Anolis sagrei: one gene and its partner. The protein of the gene in region 1 interacts with the protein of each later gene in a pairwise test. Links are inferred from orthologs where the notes say so. Each region holds a gene or a part of one and is shown on either strand. Other genes may lie near its edges.

The links.
Region 2: the proteins of CHAF1A (region 1) and methyl-CpG-binding domain protein 1 interact in binary tests that used the Homo sapiens proteins (3 or more experiments, as listed by UniProt). The link is inferred for Anolis sagrei from reciprocal best matches to the Homo sapiens genes CHAF1A and MBD1.

The regions. Positions count from the first base shown.
Region 1 is NC_090034.1:56,229,489-56,239,084, forward strand, and holds the start of CHAF1A (chromatin assembly factor 1 subunit A), read left to right. Parts: upstream 1-5,292; 5' UTR 5,293-5,554; exon of another isoform or gene 5,555-5,647; intron 5,648-8,560; 5' UTR 8,561-8,562; coding exon 8,563-8,611; intron 8,612-9,596. UniProt on the Homo sapiens protein: Acts as a component of the histone chaperone complex chromatin assembly factor 1 (CAF-1), which assembles histone octamers onto DNA during replication and repair.
Region 2 is NC_090022.1:193,767,580-193,777,787, forward strand, and holds the start of methyl-CpG-binding domain protein 1, read left to right. Parts: upstream 1-5,792; 5' UTR 5,793-5,877; intron 5,878-10,208. Other genes in the region: CXXC1 (CXXC-type zinc finger protein 1), read left to right, coding at 857-1,009, 1,169-1,315. UniProt on the Homo sapiens protein: Transcriptional repressor that binds CpG islands in promoters where the DNA is methylated at position 5 of cytosine within CpG dinucleotides. Binding is abolished by the presence of 7-mG that is produced by DNA damage by methylmethanesulfonate (MMS).

The DNA of each region.
Region 1 (9,596 bases):
AAAAAAGAGAATAGCAAAGTAGGAAAAAAATAGAAAAGCACCCCCCTACCCCCAAGTCCACCAAAAGATCAAAAAGGAAAAAACAGTAAAAAATAAAATACAAAAAACACAAAAAGAAATATATATATATATAAGATAAAAATTGACTTCCATCTCTCCATCAGGTGTGTCCTCAGTAATATTTCCATTGTATCCACTTCATAATGTTCCTCTTATTTGCTCCTTTCCTTTTCGTAGTTTTCATATAGAGTCCAATCTGTCCTCTTTATCGGATTCCCGGTGTTCTTTTTCAAGAAAAAAGTTAATTCGTCCATTTCTCTTATTTCTCTTATTTTCCCTAACCACTCTTCAATGGTAGGGATGTCTTCCTCTTTCCAAAGCTTCGCCAAAGATATTCTCTCCACTGTTGTAGCATAAGTAAATAGTCTATCTTCGTTCTCATCTAATTGTAATTCCAAATCCGTAAATCCCAATAGATAGTATTCTGGTTTCTTCTTGAAAACTCTCTTCAGAATTTTTTGTAACTCCTCATGTACTTTCGACCAGTATTTCTCTATTTCTTTACATGACCACCACATATGGTAAAAGGTACTTGTTTGGTGACAACCCTTCTAAATAATTATAAATTAATTATTATAAATAATTATGAATATAATAATATAAATAATATATTATTACACATAAATAATGCTGGTCGCTTCTGTGGCGTATCAGCCAGCACGTCAACGACTTAAATCTATAAATAGTTTTCTAAGATCTACAGAGACACTCGCTGGAACACCTCAGCAAGCGAGAATCCAAAAGTGGCAGGCTCAAACCCAGAACCTCAACCAATGGCTGATACCAAATGAGAGACTCCCCCCTGGGCACACAGAAAACTGGGCGACTTGGAAGGCGCTGAACAGACTGCATTCTGGCACCACAAGATGCAGAGCCAACCTCAAGAAATGGGGCTACAAAGTGGAATCCTTGATATGCAAATGTGGAGAGGAGCAAACCACTGACCACCTGCTGCAATGCAACCTGAGCCCTGCCACATGCACAATGGTGGACCTTCTTGCAGCAACACCAGAAGCACTCCAAGTGGCCAGATACTGGTCAAAGGACATTTAATCAACTACCAAACTCACAAATGTTGTATTTTGTCTGTTTGTTTGCTTTGTTCTGTTAGAAATGTAATATAATTGACTGGTTGCCCTGACATGACAAATAAATAACATAAATAATATTATAAATAATAGCATAAGGTAGGTATGTGGCCAGCATGCCTGCATGGTGCACCCTTACCTTCCTGCCAGAGTTAAACCTATTGATTCACTCACATTTACATGTTTTCGAACTGCTAGGTTTGATTATGGCAACCGGACGGACTGATTACTGGAAAATAGAGGGAGAAAATGTGGAGGCAATGACAAGGTTTGTATTTCTAGGTGCAAAGATTACTGCAGACGCAGACTGCTGCCAGGAAATCCGAAGATGTTTACTTTGTGGGATGAGAGCAATGACCAATCTTGATAAACTAGTGAAGAGTAGAGACATCACACTGGCAACGAAGATCCGCATAGTTAAAGCAATGGTATTCCGCGTAGCCACTTTGGATGGGAGAGCTGGACCATAAGGAAGGCTGAGCAAAGGAAGAGAAACACTTTTGAACTGTGATGCTGGAGGAAAATTCTGAGAGTGCCTTGGACCGTAAGATCAAACCAGTCCATCCTCCAGGGCATAATGCCTGACTGCTCACTGGAGGGAAGGATATTAGAGGCAAAGATGAAGTACTTTGGCCACATGAGAAGACAGGAAAGCTTGGAGATGACAATGATGCTGTGGAAAAAGGAAGGAAAAAGGAAGAGGGTCCGACCAAGAGCAAGATGCATGGTATCCTTGAATATTTGTATTCAATATTTGTATTCAATATTTGTTGATCCAAAAATCTGTATCTCCTGAGGAGAACAAATTCTCAAGTGTATAACCTTGTAAGTAACTTAAATGTTTTGTAACACATGGTGTTTAATGGATATGTTCAACAAATATTGGTGTAATAGCAAGTGTGAAGACTTAACAAATTTCTTTAAGTACATTTTAGTATAAGATGTTCTATATGTATGCAACCGGAGCAAAATATTGATTTATACATTCATTTCAGTCCACCAGAAGAAGGCCTGAGATAGGCCGAAACCGGTCGTGGATGGCTGATCTATAAGCTACTCAACATAAGAAGATATGACATTGATATTATTCTAAAGAGACTGTACCAGAATTTACATAATAGTGTTTGACATCACTGTGAAATTGAACAGTACAACATGTCTATATAACTGCTTGTTGAATTCCATTATTGTTTACTCTATGTATAAGTGGCATTTTTGTTGTATATAGTGGACGGCTGATCTATAAGCTACTCAACATAAGTAGATACGACATTGTTATTATTCTAAAGAGACTGTACCAAAATTTACACAATATTGTTTGACATCACTGTGAAATTGAACAGTACAACATGTCTATATAACTGCTTGTTGAATTCTATTATTGTTTACTCTATGTATAAGTGGTATTTTTGTTATATGTACTTATTCAGGAACCCATTTATATTATATTAGAGATATACATTTGGACAGGTAAGCTGGGCTGGAACCTTTTAGAGCTTTATTGGCTAAAGCCAGCACTTTGAATTGTGCCCAGTAACAAACTGGCAGCCAGTGGAGTTGACGTAACAGAGGGGTTGTATGCTCCTTGAACGCTGCTCCATGAGCAATCTGGCTACTGTCCGTTGGACCATTTGAAGCTTTTGAACAGTCTTCAAAAGCAACGCCACACAGAGCATGTTGCAGTGGTTTTTGAGTTATGCTAATTCCACAAACAAACATTCATTTTTTATTTATATAGACTAGCTGTCTCCTGTCACGCATTGCTGTGGCCCACATGGGGGTTCTGTGTGGGAGGTTTAGCCCAATTCTATCGTTGGTGGGGTTCAGAATGCTCTGTGATTGAAGGTGAACCATAAATCCCAGCAACTACAACTCCCAAATGTCAAGATTCTATTTTCCCCAAACTCCGCCAGTGTTCACATCTGGGCATATTGAGTATTCGTGTTGCTGGGTTGTTGTAGGTTTTTCCAGGCTATATGGCCATGTTCTAGAGGCATTTTCTCCTGACGTTTCACCTGCATCTATGGCAAGCATCCTCAGAGGTAGTGAGGTCTGTTGGAAGTAGGAAAATGGGTTTATATATCTGTGGAATGACCAGGGTGAGACAAAGGACTCTTGTCTGCTGGAGCTAGGTGTGAATGTTTCAACCGACCACCTTGATTAGCATTGAATGGCTTGGAAGTGCCTGGGGGAATCTTTTGCTGAGAGTGATTTGATGTGCCTGATTGTCTACTCTCTGCTGTTTTGCTGTTGTAATTTTTGAGTTTTTAAATACTGGTAGCCAGATTTTGTTCATTTTCATGGTTTCCTCCTTTCTGCTGAAATTGTCCAGATGCTTGTGGATTTCAATGGCTTTTCTGTGTAGCCTGACATGGTGGTTGTTGGAGTGATCCAGCATTTCTGTGTTCTCGAATAATATGCTGTGTCCAGGTTGGTTCATCAGGTGCTCTGCTATGGCTGACTTCTCTGGTTGAAGTAGTCTGCAGTGCCTTTCATGTTCCTTGATTCGTGTTTGGGCAATGCTGCGTTTGGTGGTCCCTATGTAGACTTGTCCACAGCTGCATGGAATACAGTAGACTCCTGCAGAGGTGAGAGGATCCCTCTTGTCCTTTGCTGAACGTAGCATTTGTTGGATTTTCTTGGTGGGTTTGTAGGTGGTTTGTATGTTGTGTATTTGTGTTGCGTTTGGTCCAGATCCATTACTGTTTGAATCCACAGTGATCTCTGGATGTAGGTGAACTACATTATAATTCATTCATTTAATGAGGCGATCCCTCGCTTTCCGAGGAGGATTGTCTTCCAGTATTCTTGTGGGTCCGTATGTGGCTGTGGAGCCCTATTCTTTCTCTGCATCTTCTCCCGCAGTGAGGGCATTGGTTTCCAGGTGGAAGGCGGTTTTGGTTGGGGTTGGCTTGACGCGCCTTCCTCTTGGCACGCTTCTCCCTTTCGCCCTCCATTCGTGCCTCTTCAAATTCTGCAGCACTGCTGGTCACAGCTGACCTCCAGCAGGAGCGGTCAAGGGCCAGGGCTTCCCAGTTCTCAGTGTCTATGCCAGAGTTTTTAAGGTTGGCTTTGAGCCCATCTTTAAATTTCTTTTCCTGTGAACTACAATTCCAGAACCAAAGGACACTGCCCACCAAACCCTTCCAGTATTTTCTGTTGGTCATGGGTTCCGGCCCAAGGTACCTATCCGACCGCATCTCTGCCTATGAACCCACCAGGACTTTGAGATCTTCCGGGGAGACCCTGCTCTCGATCCCGCCTGCTTCTCAAACTCGGCTGGCAGGGACGAGAGATAGGGCCTTCTCGGTGGTGGCTCCTCGGCTGTGGAACACCCTTCCTACGGACCTTAGACTAGCACCATCTCTAATGGTATTCCGCAAAAAAGTGAAGACCTGGCTGTTTGAGCAGGCGTTCGAATAATTAGTGCAATGACTGGTTAATGAACACTGGAATGGAACGATGGATGACGAATCTGGAACATGTTTTTGATGACGAGACGACAGTGAATGGGTATTGTAGTAACTGTTTATGAATTGTGTAATGTGTTAGGTTGTTAACTGTTTCTATACTGTAGCACTGAATTTTTGCTGTTCGTATTTGTTGTGAACCGCTCTGAGTTGCCTTCGGGCTGAGAACAGCGGTATATAAGAAAGGTAAATAAATAAATAAATAAATGGGAGAACTGTGTGCCAAGTTTGGTTCAATTCCATCGTTGGTGGGGTTCAGAGTGCTCTTTGATTGAAGGGGAACTATAAATCCTAGCAACTACAACTCCCAAATGACAAAATCAATTTTTTGAGTGAAGGACATACATTGGGTTGTTAGGTGTCTTGTGTCCAAATTTGGTGTCAATTTGTCCAGTGGTTTTTGAGTTCTGTTAATCCCACAAAACGAGCATTACATTTTTATTTAGATAGAAGGTTTTGGAAGCATTTCGGAGATGCAATCCTTTCTGTTTTTCACGTTTCACTATGTTACACCTCGAGAGAATGAGTTGGAAGGCAAGCGCGCATGCGCACATCCCCTTCGCCTTCCCTCCAGCACTTGTCGCGAGAAGGGCCAGGAGCCGCCAAGAGCCAATCGGGAAAGGAGGGAGGCGGCGCGCGCGTTGGGTTGGTCACGTGCCCCGCGCGTCCCGCCCAATCAGAGCCCTGGAGCGCGAAGGTGGCCCGAACTCCCGCCAAATACAAGCGAGGGAGCCTGGTTGGACGGCGAGCGGGAAGGGTCAGAAGGGGAAGGCTGGCTCAAAGTAAGGCAGAAGACGCGGGGAAAAGCCGGAAAGAAGGACGAAGGAAGGAGAAGGGCTTCCTATGCGGGGAGCGGAAGGCAGGAAGAGCCTGGGCTGCTTCCTCCCGCCTTTTGAGGGGAGAAGCCGGCCAGGAAGGAAGAAAGACCTTGGTGAGGTGAGCTGGGGGAAGAGCGGAAAGAGAGGCCTGGCCTGTTGGAGTAGAAAGACCTGCGGGAAAGGGATCATTATTCAGAACAATACGAATGAAGTGAGTTGCTGTTTTATTGTATGTTACTAGCCGTCTCTAGCCACGCGTTGCTGTGGCCCAGTCTTGTATTCTGGAAAATGATGTAATGAGAAACTGTTGGTTTCTAATGCCTTTATGCTTTGTGAGCAAACAGTATTTTCTGCTGTTTCTTTGTCAGTGTTGATTTGGAGATTGTCTGGTTTGCCTACTCTGGAACATGCAACATATAATTGTCCTTCTTTAGGGGTCCCTTTCAAATCTATGATACTATTTCTATCATATACTTATATATATGTGTGTGTGTGTGTGGATTATATAGATCTATCTATTTATTTATTTACTTTGCTTGTATACCGCAATTTCTCAGCCTTGTAGGTGACTCAACGCGGTTTACAACAAGAGCAAAAGTCAATCCAACAGCATACAAAGTTTAAAAACCATTAACAGCATAATATACAAAATGACACATCAATAACAACACATTAATGTCTCGTAACTAGAATCGTGATCCAATTTGTCTTCCATAATTCCGTTTCCTATATTCATCGTGTACATTGCATTGTTTAACCGAACGCCTGTTCGAACAGCCAGGTTTTTAGTTTTCTTCGAAACACCATTAATGAAGGGGCTGATCTAATGTCCATGGGAAGGGCGTTCCACAGCCATCTATGGCTGGATGGCTCTTTGCTTTCTTGCCCTGGTGAAGGGAGTTGGACTGGATGGCCTTAAGGTAGCATTTCTCAACCTGAGGGTCGCGAGAGGGTGTCAGGAGGGTTGCCAAAGACCACCAGAAAACAGTCATGGGGGTTCTCTCTGTGTGTGTGTGGGGGGGGGGGGGGGTGTTCTGTGTGGGAAGTTTGGCCCAATTCTATCATTGATCTTTGGATGTGGGTGAACTACAACTCCAAAACCAAAGGACACTGCCCACCAAACCCTTCCAGTATTTTCTGTTGGTCATGGGAGAACTGTGTGCCAAGTTTGGTTCAATTCTATTGTTGGTGGGTTCAGAATGCTCTTCGATTGTAGGTGAACTATAAATCTCAGTAAGTACAACTCCCAAATGACAAAATCAGGGTTTTTTTGTGTGATGGTAACTCCTTGGGTTAGTAAGTGTCTTGTGGCCAAATTTGGCGGCAATTAGTCCAGCAGTTTTTGAGTTATGATGTCACTCAAAATGAACAGAGCGTTGTATATGTGTGTGTGTGTACTATTACATATTATTTTTATTGTTAAAGTGACTTGTGTATGTGAAGAAGCCTTGTGTGGGATGGGTGCCTGATGGATGTGTTTCCTGAGGGAGATAATTAAGTGGGTAATAAATAATGCATTATTTATCTATTTTACTATTTATTATTATTATTATTTCCTATTCTCATTAAAGTCACTTGTGTGTGAAAAAGAGGCAAGGAAAAAGCCTTGTTTGGGAGGTTTGTCAAATGTGTTTGTGAGGGAGATAATGAGGTGGGTAATAAATCATGTATTGTTTATTAATATTATTATTAGTTTGTACTATTATTGTTATTAAAGTGAGTTGTGTGTATGGTGAAGCCTTGTGTAGGATGTGTGTCTGACTGATGTGTTTGAGGGAGATAATGAGGTGGGTAATAAATACATACAGTAGAGTCTCGCTTATCCAACATAAATGGGCCAGCAGAATGTTGGATATGCAAAAATGTCGGATAATACGGAGGGATTAAGAAAAAGCCTATTAAACGTCAAATTATGTTATGATTTTACAACCTAAGCACCAAAACATCATGTTTTATAACAAATCGACAAAAAGGGAGTTCAATACACAATAATATTATGTAGAAATTACTGTATTTACAAATTTAGCACCAAAACATTGCAGTGTATTGAAACAGCTGTGGATCTGGGCGGGAGACAGACTGCGTTGGATGAGCGAAGGTTGGATAAGGGAGGTTCTACTGTATATTATATATTCTTCTTATTATTAAAGTGACTTGTGTGTATGGAGAAGCCTTGTGTAGGATGTGTACCTGACTGGTGTGTTTTTGAAGGAGATAATGTGGTGGGTAATAAATAGTGTATAATTACTATTATTACTTTTATTAGTAGTTTTTACTATTTTACTATTTATTATCATTATTAAAGTCAGTTGTGTGTATGGAAAAGAGGCTAGGAAAAGCCTTGTATGGGGTGTGTGATGTGTTTGTGAGGGGGATAATAAGATAGGTAATAAATCATGTATTATTATTATTTATTCCAATTATTGTTAATTTTTACTATTGGCTGATGTGCCCGTAAAGGAGGTAATAAGTTGGGTATTATTATTATGTTATTCTTTATTATTACTATTATATATTTATTCTTACTAAAGTGACTCGTGTGTCTGGAGAAGCTTTGTGTAGGATGCCTGTCTGACTGATGCGTTTCCTGAGGGAGATATTGAGGTGGTTAATAAATGTATTATTTAGTATTACTATTACTTAATTTTGTTGTTGCTGTTATTATTATTAAAGTAAATTGTGCTTATGGAAAGAGGTGAGGAAAAAAGGCTTGTGTGGGATGTGTGTCTGATGTGTTTGTGAAGAAAATAATGTGGTGGGTAATAAATAATGTATTATTATTTATTACTATTATAATAAATTTTTAATTATTGTTATTGTTATTATTATTATTATTAAAGTGGAGGAAAGCCTCAACGTTTTAATCATTAGAATGGTCTACTGAACAATAAGTTCAGCCTTTGAGACGTCTCACCAATTTCACCAAAATTTGAAAATGGAAATAAGAAAATATGTGATGAGTTAGAGGAGGGTGAAAAGTATGAAAAATAGGATTTCTGAATGAACTGAATGATGTCAGTTTTAAAGGTGGTCGACTGATGGTCTAAGATGGGTTACTTTGAATGTGTCAGATTTTGCCTTCTAAAATCTTGTTTTTTAATGCATCTTTGTCATTTGTTGGCAGCAATGGAGTGTCGAGACAAATCGGCCACTCCAGGCCGGAAACTGATCCAAGGTAATTTTCTTTGTTCAAAGCCGGTTCTAGTTTTCATTTCCATGGTAACCTTCAGATTCGGATTGCATATTCCAAAAAGTCAAAATGTAATGAAACTGGGAGTGGGACTCTTCTAGCCCTGGAGTTGTTAGCACTCCATGTTAATACAGTCTACTTCAGTAATCAAGTCAGTATGTATTTTAACAGAAATATTGATTCTAGAGCAGGCATGGCCAAACTTCCTAACTTAGGGGCTGCATGCTAGCACTCCCTTATAGGAGGACTGGCTTCCCAGTGACGGAAGGAAGGGAAAGAAAAAAAGGTACAATGAAAAGCAGGAAGGGAAGGATGGAAGGAGAAAGAAGGAAGGAGGGAGAAAAGAGGGAAGGAAGGAAGGAAAGAGGGAAGGAAGGATGAAAGGGTAGAAGAGAAGGAGGAAGGAAAGACAAAAGGGAGGAAGGAAAGAGAGAAGGAAGGAAAGACAAAAGGGAAGGGAAGGGTGGAAGGAAGGAAAGAAAAGGAAGGACGAAAGGGTTGGAGAGAGGGGAGGTTGGAAAGAGAGAAGGAAGGAAAGAAAAGGGAAGGAAGGAAAAAGAGGGTGAGGGAAGGAAAGAAGGACAAAGGGGTGGAAGGAGGGAGGAAGAGGAAGGGAGGAAGGAGTAAAGGGTGGAAGAGAAGGAGGGAAGGAGGAAGGAAAGAGAGAATGATGGAAAGACAGAAAGAGAGAAAGACCTGAGAAAAAGAGCTCATGGGGCCGCATCCGACCCCCGGACCTGGGTTTGCCCATCTCTGTTCTAGAGTCAGAAATAACATTGAAAGAATAGAGATGGGTTCCTGCACCACAAAAAAAGTAAATTCAGTAAGTTTCTAAGCTTATCTAATGCTCCCTTGTTATTGGATAACTTGATGAGGGACCTGTATTTTTTTCAGATGGTTTTATTTGGTAAGCTTGGATGTATCTTTCCAACAGCTAACAGTCGACTTCTTTCTTTAAAAAATAATATTA
Region 2 (10,208 bases), on another chromosome or scaffold:
GATTTTAGAGAGATAAAAATGATGAGAATTTGAGGCCTCCCTGATGAACAGAGAAGAAGATATTAGGACCAAAATGATATTAGGGCATTCTTTCTCAAGTTTTATTGTATTTTTACTACGAACAAATGGTTACAACCAGGCGTTAAAAGCCTGTAGTTCTTCATTCTTTCTTTCAATCTTGATACTGCTAAGAAAACTTCCACATAAACAAGGAGAAAAGGAGTGGGGCAGAGACTAGAGAGTTGTAAAAAGACTTTGTAAAAAGAAGCTCCTTTGTCAATGGCTTTAAGGTTTATTTATTTATTTATTTACAGTATTTATATTCCACCCTTCTCACCCTAAAGGGGACTCAAGGCAGATCACAATGCACACATACACAACAAACATTCAATGCTGTTTTCAGATATACAAGACAGACGGGTATTTTGGCATTTCAAGTTAGGTGCCTGGAGGTTCAGCTCAATCCCTGCCATGCCGCGGGGGGTGGGGGTTGCTCTTCATTCACTATGACGGCGAGTGATTTTTATTGTATTTCCTCCTTGCTCTTTGATTCCCAGCATTTTTATGGTGTCGTAAAATACCTTCCCACTTTTAAGCAGTCTCTCATTTCTTTACTCACAGCTCAGCTGTTTTCAAACTGCTTAGGCGGACAGTAAGCTAGGCTTAACAAATGTGTGCTCAATCTGACTAGGGCTTCGAACTTGCCACCTTCTGGTCAGCAGTGATCTATTGCTGCTGGTGATTAACCAGCTGTGCTACAGCTTGGCCCAATCTTATCACAGAGTATGAATCATTTTAGCTGGATATCAAACATCCCTGATTTCAGACTGTTCACTCTTGACTGATCTTCCCCCAGGTGTCAGCAGATGAGGTATGTGGTTGCCCCATGGTAAAAGACGTATTTGAGCTCACTGGGGAGTTCTGCCGTGTGCCCAAACGGAAATGCAATCGACACTACTGCTGGGAGAAGCTGCGCCGGGCTGAGGTGGACTTGGAGAGAGTACGCGTGGTATGGATCAGCAAACTTCACATATGTGTCTGGTTGTCAAAGGGTTATAATGAGCCCATCAACAGTGTATGAAATAGGTTTTTGGCTCGAGAAATCGTAGCAGTGGTGTGAATCCTTCCACTAGGGATGGGCTGTAATCTGCTCCTCTTGCTTTTGCAGTGGTACAAGCTGGACGAGCTGTTTGAACAGGAACGAAATGTACGGATGGCCATGACCAACCGAGCTGGGCTTCTTGCTCTCATGCTGCACCAGACAATCCAGCATGATCCACTGACCACAGACTTGCGTACAACCACTGATCGCTGAGCTAGTAAGCGAAAGGTAATAGCACCTGCTGCCATTGGATTGATAAAGAGGATTCAGTGCTAAGTTGCTTGGTTAGCTAAGCCTGGAGGGTGGGGGTAGATGCATATCTGAGATGGAGATGTAGAGTCTCTATTGGACACATAGAGTCTCAGCTGGGGGCTATATCAGTTACTGTGGGGTGTTGGGATATACTCTTTCCTTACATAGGAAGCATTGGTGCTCATACATTATTTGGAGAACAGTTGTGTGTTTTCCTCTCACTGGTCTCACTTAAGACAAGAGGATTGGGGAACTTGCTTCTGAGGAAGACATTAAATGAAGTGCCTTGAAATAGCACAATTTTTCCCTGTAGAAGAGTGTCAGCTTAAATCTCTGGCTAACACTAAGGCAAGACAAGGGTAGAGATTACTTCAGATACTGGGCTCCCAGCAGCATTTACCGTAGGCGTACTGTGGAGGGCTGGTTGGATTTGCATTCTTAACAACATTGAGATCTCATGTTCCCTCATTCTTGTCAAAGATTTGTATCATTTTCCTGTCCTTAACACCCATCTCTTTTCTTTGTAGGTGCTGTTGAGCCTATGGACAAGAGCTTCCCAATTCAGTGCCAATTGAACCAGAATCTTTTTTTAAAAATGATTTTTCTTAATCTCTTTTTTCATTAAAACAGTCTGGTGTAGCTTTTGCCTCTGAGCTCCTCTTCTTTGCTCCTGTAGAATCTAAGCTGTCTTTGACCATAAAACCCTTGCCAGTGGCTGTTAGCTGTGGTCCCTTTTTTTCTAAAATATTCCCATGGTTTAAGGGCTGGAAGACTGGCAGTTAGGGAAGTCAGTGGCTTCTTCTGCCAACTTGCCAAGGTGAAAGGAATGTTTCGGCTCATACTGGCTTAGGACAATCCCTGCTTCCTGAAGCAGAATTTTGATTAGATTTTTGATGCTGCATTGAAGGAAAGACGCGTGTAAACATTAAGCACTGTTGCCTTTCCATGTAGCTGCTGTCAGCTAAGAGTCATGGAACTGAGGGGTTAAATATGCTGTTAAATCAGGGCAAAGGAACCAGATGGGTTACAAATCTCTCATCCCATTGTGTGCTGTTGCCAGGAGGCAGAAAAGAGGCTAATAAAAATATCTCTCAACCTTCTGTCTCATTCTCTCTCTGTATGTGCGTTTTATATTATGGGCCAGCATCAAATGACATTGGATTACTGTTTAAATAGCTGCTATTCTTTATCTTTACTCCTAACTCAGGGCCCTTCCACACATCCATATAACCCAGAATATCAAGGCAGAAAATCCTAGAATGTCTGCCTTGGACTGGGTTATCTGAGTCCACACTGCCATATAATCCAGTTCAAAGCAGAAAATGTGAGATTTTATTCAACTATGCGGAAGGCTATGCACAGTTACTGGGGCCAGCTGCAAGAGGCAAAAGACACAGGAGGCCAAAAGGATACAAAGAATCAGTTATAAGGGGAACACATTGAAGTGTATGTTTATTAAAGAGGCTACTTTGTAATAGAGGGGGAAGACAGTGTATCTAGGGTGCTTGTCAGTTGTTGCTGCCCTTCTCCACTCCTCTGATGATTATTTGCATATTTGATCAGCCGGGGTCGGGGATGTGTGTGGTGGTTGGTGCTCAGTATCAGAAGGACCCTGAGTCCACACTGCCATATATCCCAATCCAAAGCAGAAAATGTGGGATTTTATTCAGCTGTGTGGAAGGGGCCTAAGGGCCCTTCCATGCAGCCATATAACCCAGAATATCAAGGCAGAAAATCCCACAATGTCTGCTTTGAATTGGGTTATCTGAGTCCACACTGTGATAGATCCCAGTTCAAAGCAAAAAATGTGGGATTTTATTCAGCTGCGTAGAAGGGGCCTAAGTCTGCAGTGCTTTTCATGCTCTGATTTGTGTCTGGGCATTGCTGTGTTTGGTGGTCCCTATGTAGACTTGTCCACAATTGCATGGTGTATCGTAGACTCCTGCAGTGGTTAGAGGACCCCTCTTGTCTTTTGCTGAATTGTTGAATTTGTGTTGTCTTGACCTGAGAAATCAGCCGTAGCAGAGCACCTGATGAACCAACCTGGACACAGCATATTATTGGAGAACACAGAATGCTGGACCACTCTCACAGCCACCATGTCAGACTACACAGAAAAGGCACTGAGATTCACAAGAAGCATGTGGACAATCTCAACAGAAAGGAAGAAACCATGAAAATAAAATCTGGCCGCCAGTATTTAAAAAACCCTCTAAAATCAGGACAGTAAATAAAAGTAATGGTATTCCCTGTAGTAAATTACGGATGTGAGAGCTCGACCATAGGGAAGGCTGAGCAAAGGAAGATAGATGCTTTTGAACTGTGGTGCTGGAGGAAAGTTCTGAGAGTGCCTTGGACCACCAGAAGATCCAACCATACTCCAGGAAATAAAGTCTGACTGCTCATTGGAGGGAAGGATATTGGAGGAAAAGATGAAGTACATAATGAGAAGACAGGAAAGCTTGGAGAAGACAATGATGCTGGGGAAAATGGAAGGAAAAAGGAAGAGGGGCCGACCAAGGGCAAGATGGATGGATGGCATCCTAGAAGTGACTGGCTTGACCTTGAAGGAGCTGGGGGTGGTGACGGCCGACAGGGAGCTCTGGTGTGGGCTGGTCCATGAGGTCACGAAGAGTTAGAAACAACTGAACGAATGAACAACAACAACATATTTGCCAATATATGGCTTTAATTGCAACAGAAAGGTCATTCAGCAGACTTGCAAACAAGGCAAATAGGCACAACTAGTCAAGAGCAATGTACTCTTTTAGAAATTTTGTGCATCGAAGATGATTTAGCTAAGCAAGTTGATTTTACTGAAGTTATTGCAAAATTTACATCAACACAAGCTAGAAAATATAATTTGAGTTAAGTAAGAAGCTGGGGGTGGTGACGGCTGACAGGGAGCTCTGGTGTGGGCTGATCCATGAGGTCACGAAGAGTTGGAAGCGACTGAACGAATGAACAACAAATAAAGAGCAATACCCAAAAAGCAGGTGAATTCCAGGTAAGAGTCAATCAGGGTCAGCTAACACCTCCCAACAAAAAATTCCCCCAGGCAGCAACTAGCCAGGCTTTAAAGCTGCAAGGACATTAAATGCTAATCAAGGTGGCCCATTGCAACATTCACACTTGCCTCAAGAGTTCTCTCTCCCACCCTGGACATCACTTGCTTCGTTACCAACAGACCTCACAACCTCTGAGGATGCCTGCCATAGATGTGGGCAAAGCGTCAGGAGAGAATGCTTCTGGAACATGGCCATACAGCTCTGAACACTCACAGCAATCCATTCTTGAATGTTCTTGCTGCACTTTGGTGGGGCAGAGGCGGATACAGAACCTATCCGATGACAGATCTCAGGACTCCACAGCCTTGAACCCTGGCGGTGCATTCATGCTGCAATCTATTCAAAATGATCTTGACAGATTAGAGAGATGGGCCAAAACTAACAAAATGAAGTTCAACAGTGACAAATGCAAGATACTCCACTTTGGCAGGAAAAACGAAATGCAAAGATACAGAATGGGGGATGCCTGGCTCGAGAGCAGTACGTGTGAAAAAGATCTTGGAGTCCTCGTGGACTACAAGTTAAACATGAGCCAACAATGTGATGTGGCGGCAAAAAAAGCCAATGGGATTTTGGCCTGCATCAATAGGAGCATAGTGTCTAGATCTAGGGAAGTCATGCTACCCCTCTATTCCGCTTTGGTTAGACCACAACTGGAATATTGTGCCCAATTCTGGGCACCACAATTGAAGAGAGAGATTGACAAGCTGGAATGTGTCCAGAGGAGGGCGACTAAAATGATCAAGGGTCTGGAGAACAAGCCCTATGAGGAGTGGCTTAAGGAGCGGGGCATGTTTAGCCTGAAGAAGAGAAGGCTGAGAGGAGATATGATAGCCATGTATAAATATGTGAGAGGAAGCCACAGGGAGGAGGGAGCAAGCTTGTTTTCTGCTGCCCTGGAGACTAGGATGCAATGGAACAATGGCTTCAAACGATAAGAGAGGAGATTCCATCTGAACATTAGGAAGAACTTCCTGACTGTGAGAGCCGTTCAGCAGTGGAACTCTCTGCCCGGAGTGTGGTGGAGGCTCCTTCTTTGGAAGCTTTTAAACAGAGGCTGGATGGCCATCTATCGGGGTGATTTGAATGCAATATTCCTGCTTCTTGGCCTGAATGGCCCATGAGGTCTCTTCCAACTCTTTGATTCTATTCTATGATTCTAGAAGAAGCACTTCCCGCCTGTCCTCCGCGCGCCTCCCCCGGCCACGTGCTGGGGAGCATGCTGACGTCAGGGGCCTTGGGTCTTACCGTCATCTTCGTCACTTCCGCTTCCGGGAAGGGTGTTGTTGTTTGCGTCGAGGGGGTGTTCCTCCCTGGTGCCTTGGCGAAGTCCCTGCTGCAGGAGCAGGCGGAGGGGGTTGGCAGGGCCCTTCCGGAGCCCGGTTTCCTGGAAGAGGAGGAGGAGGAGAAGGCGCAGTGCGGAAGGAAGGAAGGAAGCAAGAGACGGAGAGGCTGGTGAGTCAGGCGGCATCCTGAGTGAGGCAAGCAGCCACTATGGCGCCCTCGAGGAGGGAGGGACAGATGGGTCTTTTCCTGAAAGGGTGCCACACTGAGGAGGGGGCCAGCTTGTTTTCTGCTCCTCTGGAGACCAGGGCGCCAGGGATTCAAAGAGACCCACCTCAACATCTCTGTTTAGCACATGCTGCATATGGTGGAGCCTTCTTCTCTTGAGGCTGGATGACCATCTGCCAGGGCTGCTTTGATTGTATGTTTCCTACTTGGCAGAAGAGGGTTGGACTGAATGGCCCTTGGGGTCTCTTCCCACTCTACGATTTCGTAGTCAGACCAGTGGCACTAGGAATGTTTCCTTGCAAGTTGTTCTCTCCATAACATTTGGTCTTCCTTTCTGGTGGAGGCTCCTTCTTTGGAAGCTTTTAAACAGAGGCTGGATGGCTATCTGTCAGGGGTGATTTGAATGCAATAGTTCTGCTTCTTGGCCTGGATGGCTCATGAGGTCTCTTCCAACTCTTTGATTCTATGATTCTTTCTGCTGCTACCATATTGCAACATAATCTTTTTGTTCATGAATATTAATATTACATAATATAATATAAGTCAGAGGAATAGAGTGTGAAACAGAGAGCCAAATGTAACATGTAAAATCATACTACATATATTTGACATTAATATTGAAATCTGAAATATATACAGAAAGTCTTTACTGGATAGTTTTAACTGAACCTTTTAGTACTGTTTATATTTAATTCTGTTTAAATATTTGTATATTTAGAATGCTGTGCTAACGTTTTTATGTTAAACCCGAAGGCAGGCATGTAGCCCCCCCCCCCCCCGAAAGTCTCATGGTGGCCTTACTGGTACATCATTTAAACTGTTATGTTTATTCATATCATGACCTGATCACCATGCTCAATATATCCCATATGCATGGGGGTATTGGGATAACGATACAAAAGGTTTGCTAAGGTAGACCCTCTCTCACTCAGACTCAGCCCCCCCCCCCAATCAAACTCAGCTCCCCCCGAAACAAAATCCTGGCTACGGGTCTGCCCGAAGGGGACTCAAATAGAATGTAATAATAATAATAATAATAATAATAATTTTGGAGCATAATACTCCTGACTTCACAATCATGTTAAAAAACAAAGTATGGATCGTCGATGTCACAGTCCCAGGTGACAGCAGGATTGCAGAGAAACAACAGGGAAAAGCTGACACAATATGAGTATTTAAAGATCAAACTGCAAAGACTCTGGCACAAGCCAGTCAAGGTGGTCCCAGTGGTGATCGGCACACTGGGTGCAGTGCCTAAAGACCTTGGCCTGCACTTAGACACAATCGGCACTGACAAAATTAACATCTGCCAGCTGCAGAAGGCCACCTTACTGGGATCTGCACACATTATTCGCCGATGCATCACACAGTCCTAGACACTTGGGAAGTGTCCGGCATCTGATCCAATACAACAGCCAGCAGAGTGTCTGCTGTGGACTCATCTTGTTGTATTTTCAAATAATAATATGGAAATTCTGTGATATTGTGGAAAGGGATCTATGGTTGGGATTTCACTCCTTCTCAATCAGGGCTCAGCTTGATGGTTCATTACTGGTGAAGGGGGCATGACAGCTGCAAACTGGGTTGATCTGCCACTTTGAGGCCCCTTCTACACTGCCATATAATTCAGATTATCAAAGCAGATAATCCACATAATCTGTTTTGAACTGGATTCTATCAGTCTATGCTGCTACCTAATCTAGTTCAAAGCAGATAATCTGGATTTTATATGGCTGTGTAGAGGGGCCTGAGTCTCCTTGTGTAGAGAAAAAGCGGGGCAATAATAATAATTCACTGGAACTTATGTCACAAGAACCACCTGCCAGCAGCAAAGAATTGGTGGAATCATAAACCCGCAAAGGTCATGGAAAATGAACATGCAAAAATACTGTGGGACTTTCGAATCCAGACGGACAAAGTTTTGGAACACAACACGCCAGACATCATGATTGTGGAAAAGAAAAAAGATTATTGATGTCGCCATACCAAGTGACAGTCACATTGAGGAAAAACAACAGGAAAAACTCAGCCGCTATCAAGACCTCAAAATCGAACTGCAAAGCCTCTGGCATAAACCAGTACAGGTAGTCCCAGTGGTCATTGGCACACTGGGTGCTGTGCCAAAAGATCTCAGCCGGCATTTGGAAACAATAAACATTGACAAAATCACGATCTGTCAACTGCAAAAGGCCACCTTACTTGGATCTGCACACATCATTCGAAAGTACATCACACAGTCCTAGACACTTGGGAAGTGTTCGACTTGTGATTTTGTGATATGAAATCCAGCATATAGATCTAATTTGCTGTGACATACTGTGCTTTTGTGTCAACAACAACAATAATAATTGTAATAATGGGGTGTTGTGTGGTTTTCGGCCTGTATTCTCATGTTCGCTTTCTCCTGACGTTTCACCTGCATCTGTGGCAGGCATCTTCAAAGGATAACAGCCACAGATGCAGGTGAAATGTCAGGAGAAAATGCTGCTAGAACAGGGCCATACTGCCTGGAAACCATAGCACCCAGCGATTCCAGCCATGAAAGCCTTCAATGATACATTAAACATAATAATAATAATAATAATAATAATAATAATAATAATAAGACCATTATCTGAGTGTTTCAGTCACCTCTTTGGGTGACATTCTCTTTAGCCAGCAATTCCCAGTTCTGATCCTGGGACACTGTACAGGCCAGATGGGTTTTGGCCCTTAGAAATGAGACCAAGGGTGCTGTACAGTTAATGCAGTTTGACCATCATTTTCATTGTCGTGGCTCAATTTTGAGGAATCCTGGGAGTTGTCATTTGACAAGGTGTTGTGCCTTCCTAGCCAAAGAGTGCTGTTGCCTTGCCAAAGTACAGATTGGCTGATTCCTGAGCCATGGCAGTTAAAGTGGCTAAGCTGCATTAATTATGCAGTCTGAGATGCACTCTTAGTCAGCCTTTTCCTCAACCATGGGAGTTGTTTGGTCTGTCTTTGTCCTAAGCTGGCTCTACACTGTAGATGTAATGACACCACATTACGTAATAAGATTTGTAGTTTGGTGAGGCACCAGTACTTTGGCCACATCATGAGAAGATAGGAAAGCTTGGAGAAGACAGTTATGCTGGGGAAAATGGAAGGTAAAAGGAAGAGGAGCTGACCAAGGGCAAGATGGATGGATGGGATCCTTGAAGTGACTGGCTTGACTCTGAAGGAGCTGGGGGTGGTGATGGCTGACAGGGAGCTCTGGCGTGGACTGGTCTATGAGGTCATGAAGAGTCGGAAGTGACTGAACGAATAAACAACAATGACGCACCAGCACTCTTTGGCAGAGTGCTACACATAGCTAACAGTCTTGTAAAACTATAACTCCTATGATTACATACAATTGAGTCATGATGAGTTAAAGCAGTAGCAAACTGCCGTAATAATATAGTATAAATACACTTTTAATTGTTGCTCTGGCCTTGGCCCCTTCCAGTACCTTTTATGTCTTATGTTGGGGAATCTGATTTTTTTGTGTATCATTGTAGTTCAGTAGGCCCTTGGTATCTGCTGGGTTTGATTCCAGACATTTTGTGGGCATCAACATCTGTGGATACTCAAGTCCCATTATATACAATGGTGTAGCAACATGGTGTCCCTTATATAAAATGGCAAGATCAAGATTTGCTTTTGGGGGGAAAAGGTTTTGAAGGAACATTAGTATCTGTGGATATGGAGTGCCAGATGTTTTCAGCTCTCAATTGCTCCTGCAATAGAAATGCAAAATTAACTGTCCCTTGAATTGTTGGTCTGTTATGTCCTAATCTAGCTGGTAATGTGTTAGTGATGTTTGCCTCAGTTTACATTTGGGAAAGTGCCTAGGATACTAGAAGGTTGAAGCACATTGATTTAGGGAAGTATTTTCTGGATGAATACGTACTATCTGTTATTGTCAGTGCTGAATTCAATACCAAACGGCCATGCACATAGAAGATTTATCATGGAGAAGGTGAAGAGTGATGGATTTGTGCTTGCATAATTGTCTCTTGGAAACTATTGCATGAAGTGATCTGCCAAGTGTGATTGACTCATCAGAGATGTAATGTTTGTATTGCCTCAAACTGAATGTTTTTTTTAAAAATGGACCCGGTTTACTTATGCAGGTGCCTGCCAGCATGACAGAGACCTAAAGTGATGCCTGTTGATGTGAATGGTACCTTGGTATCTAGCCACTCAGTCATTGAATTTTTTTTCATGTCACGAGTGACTTGAGAAGTTCCAAGTCATTTCTTGTGTGAGAGAAT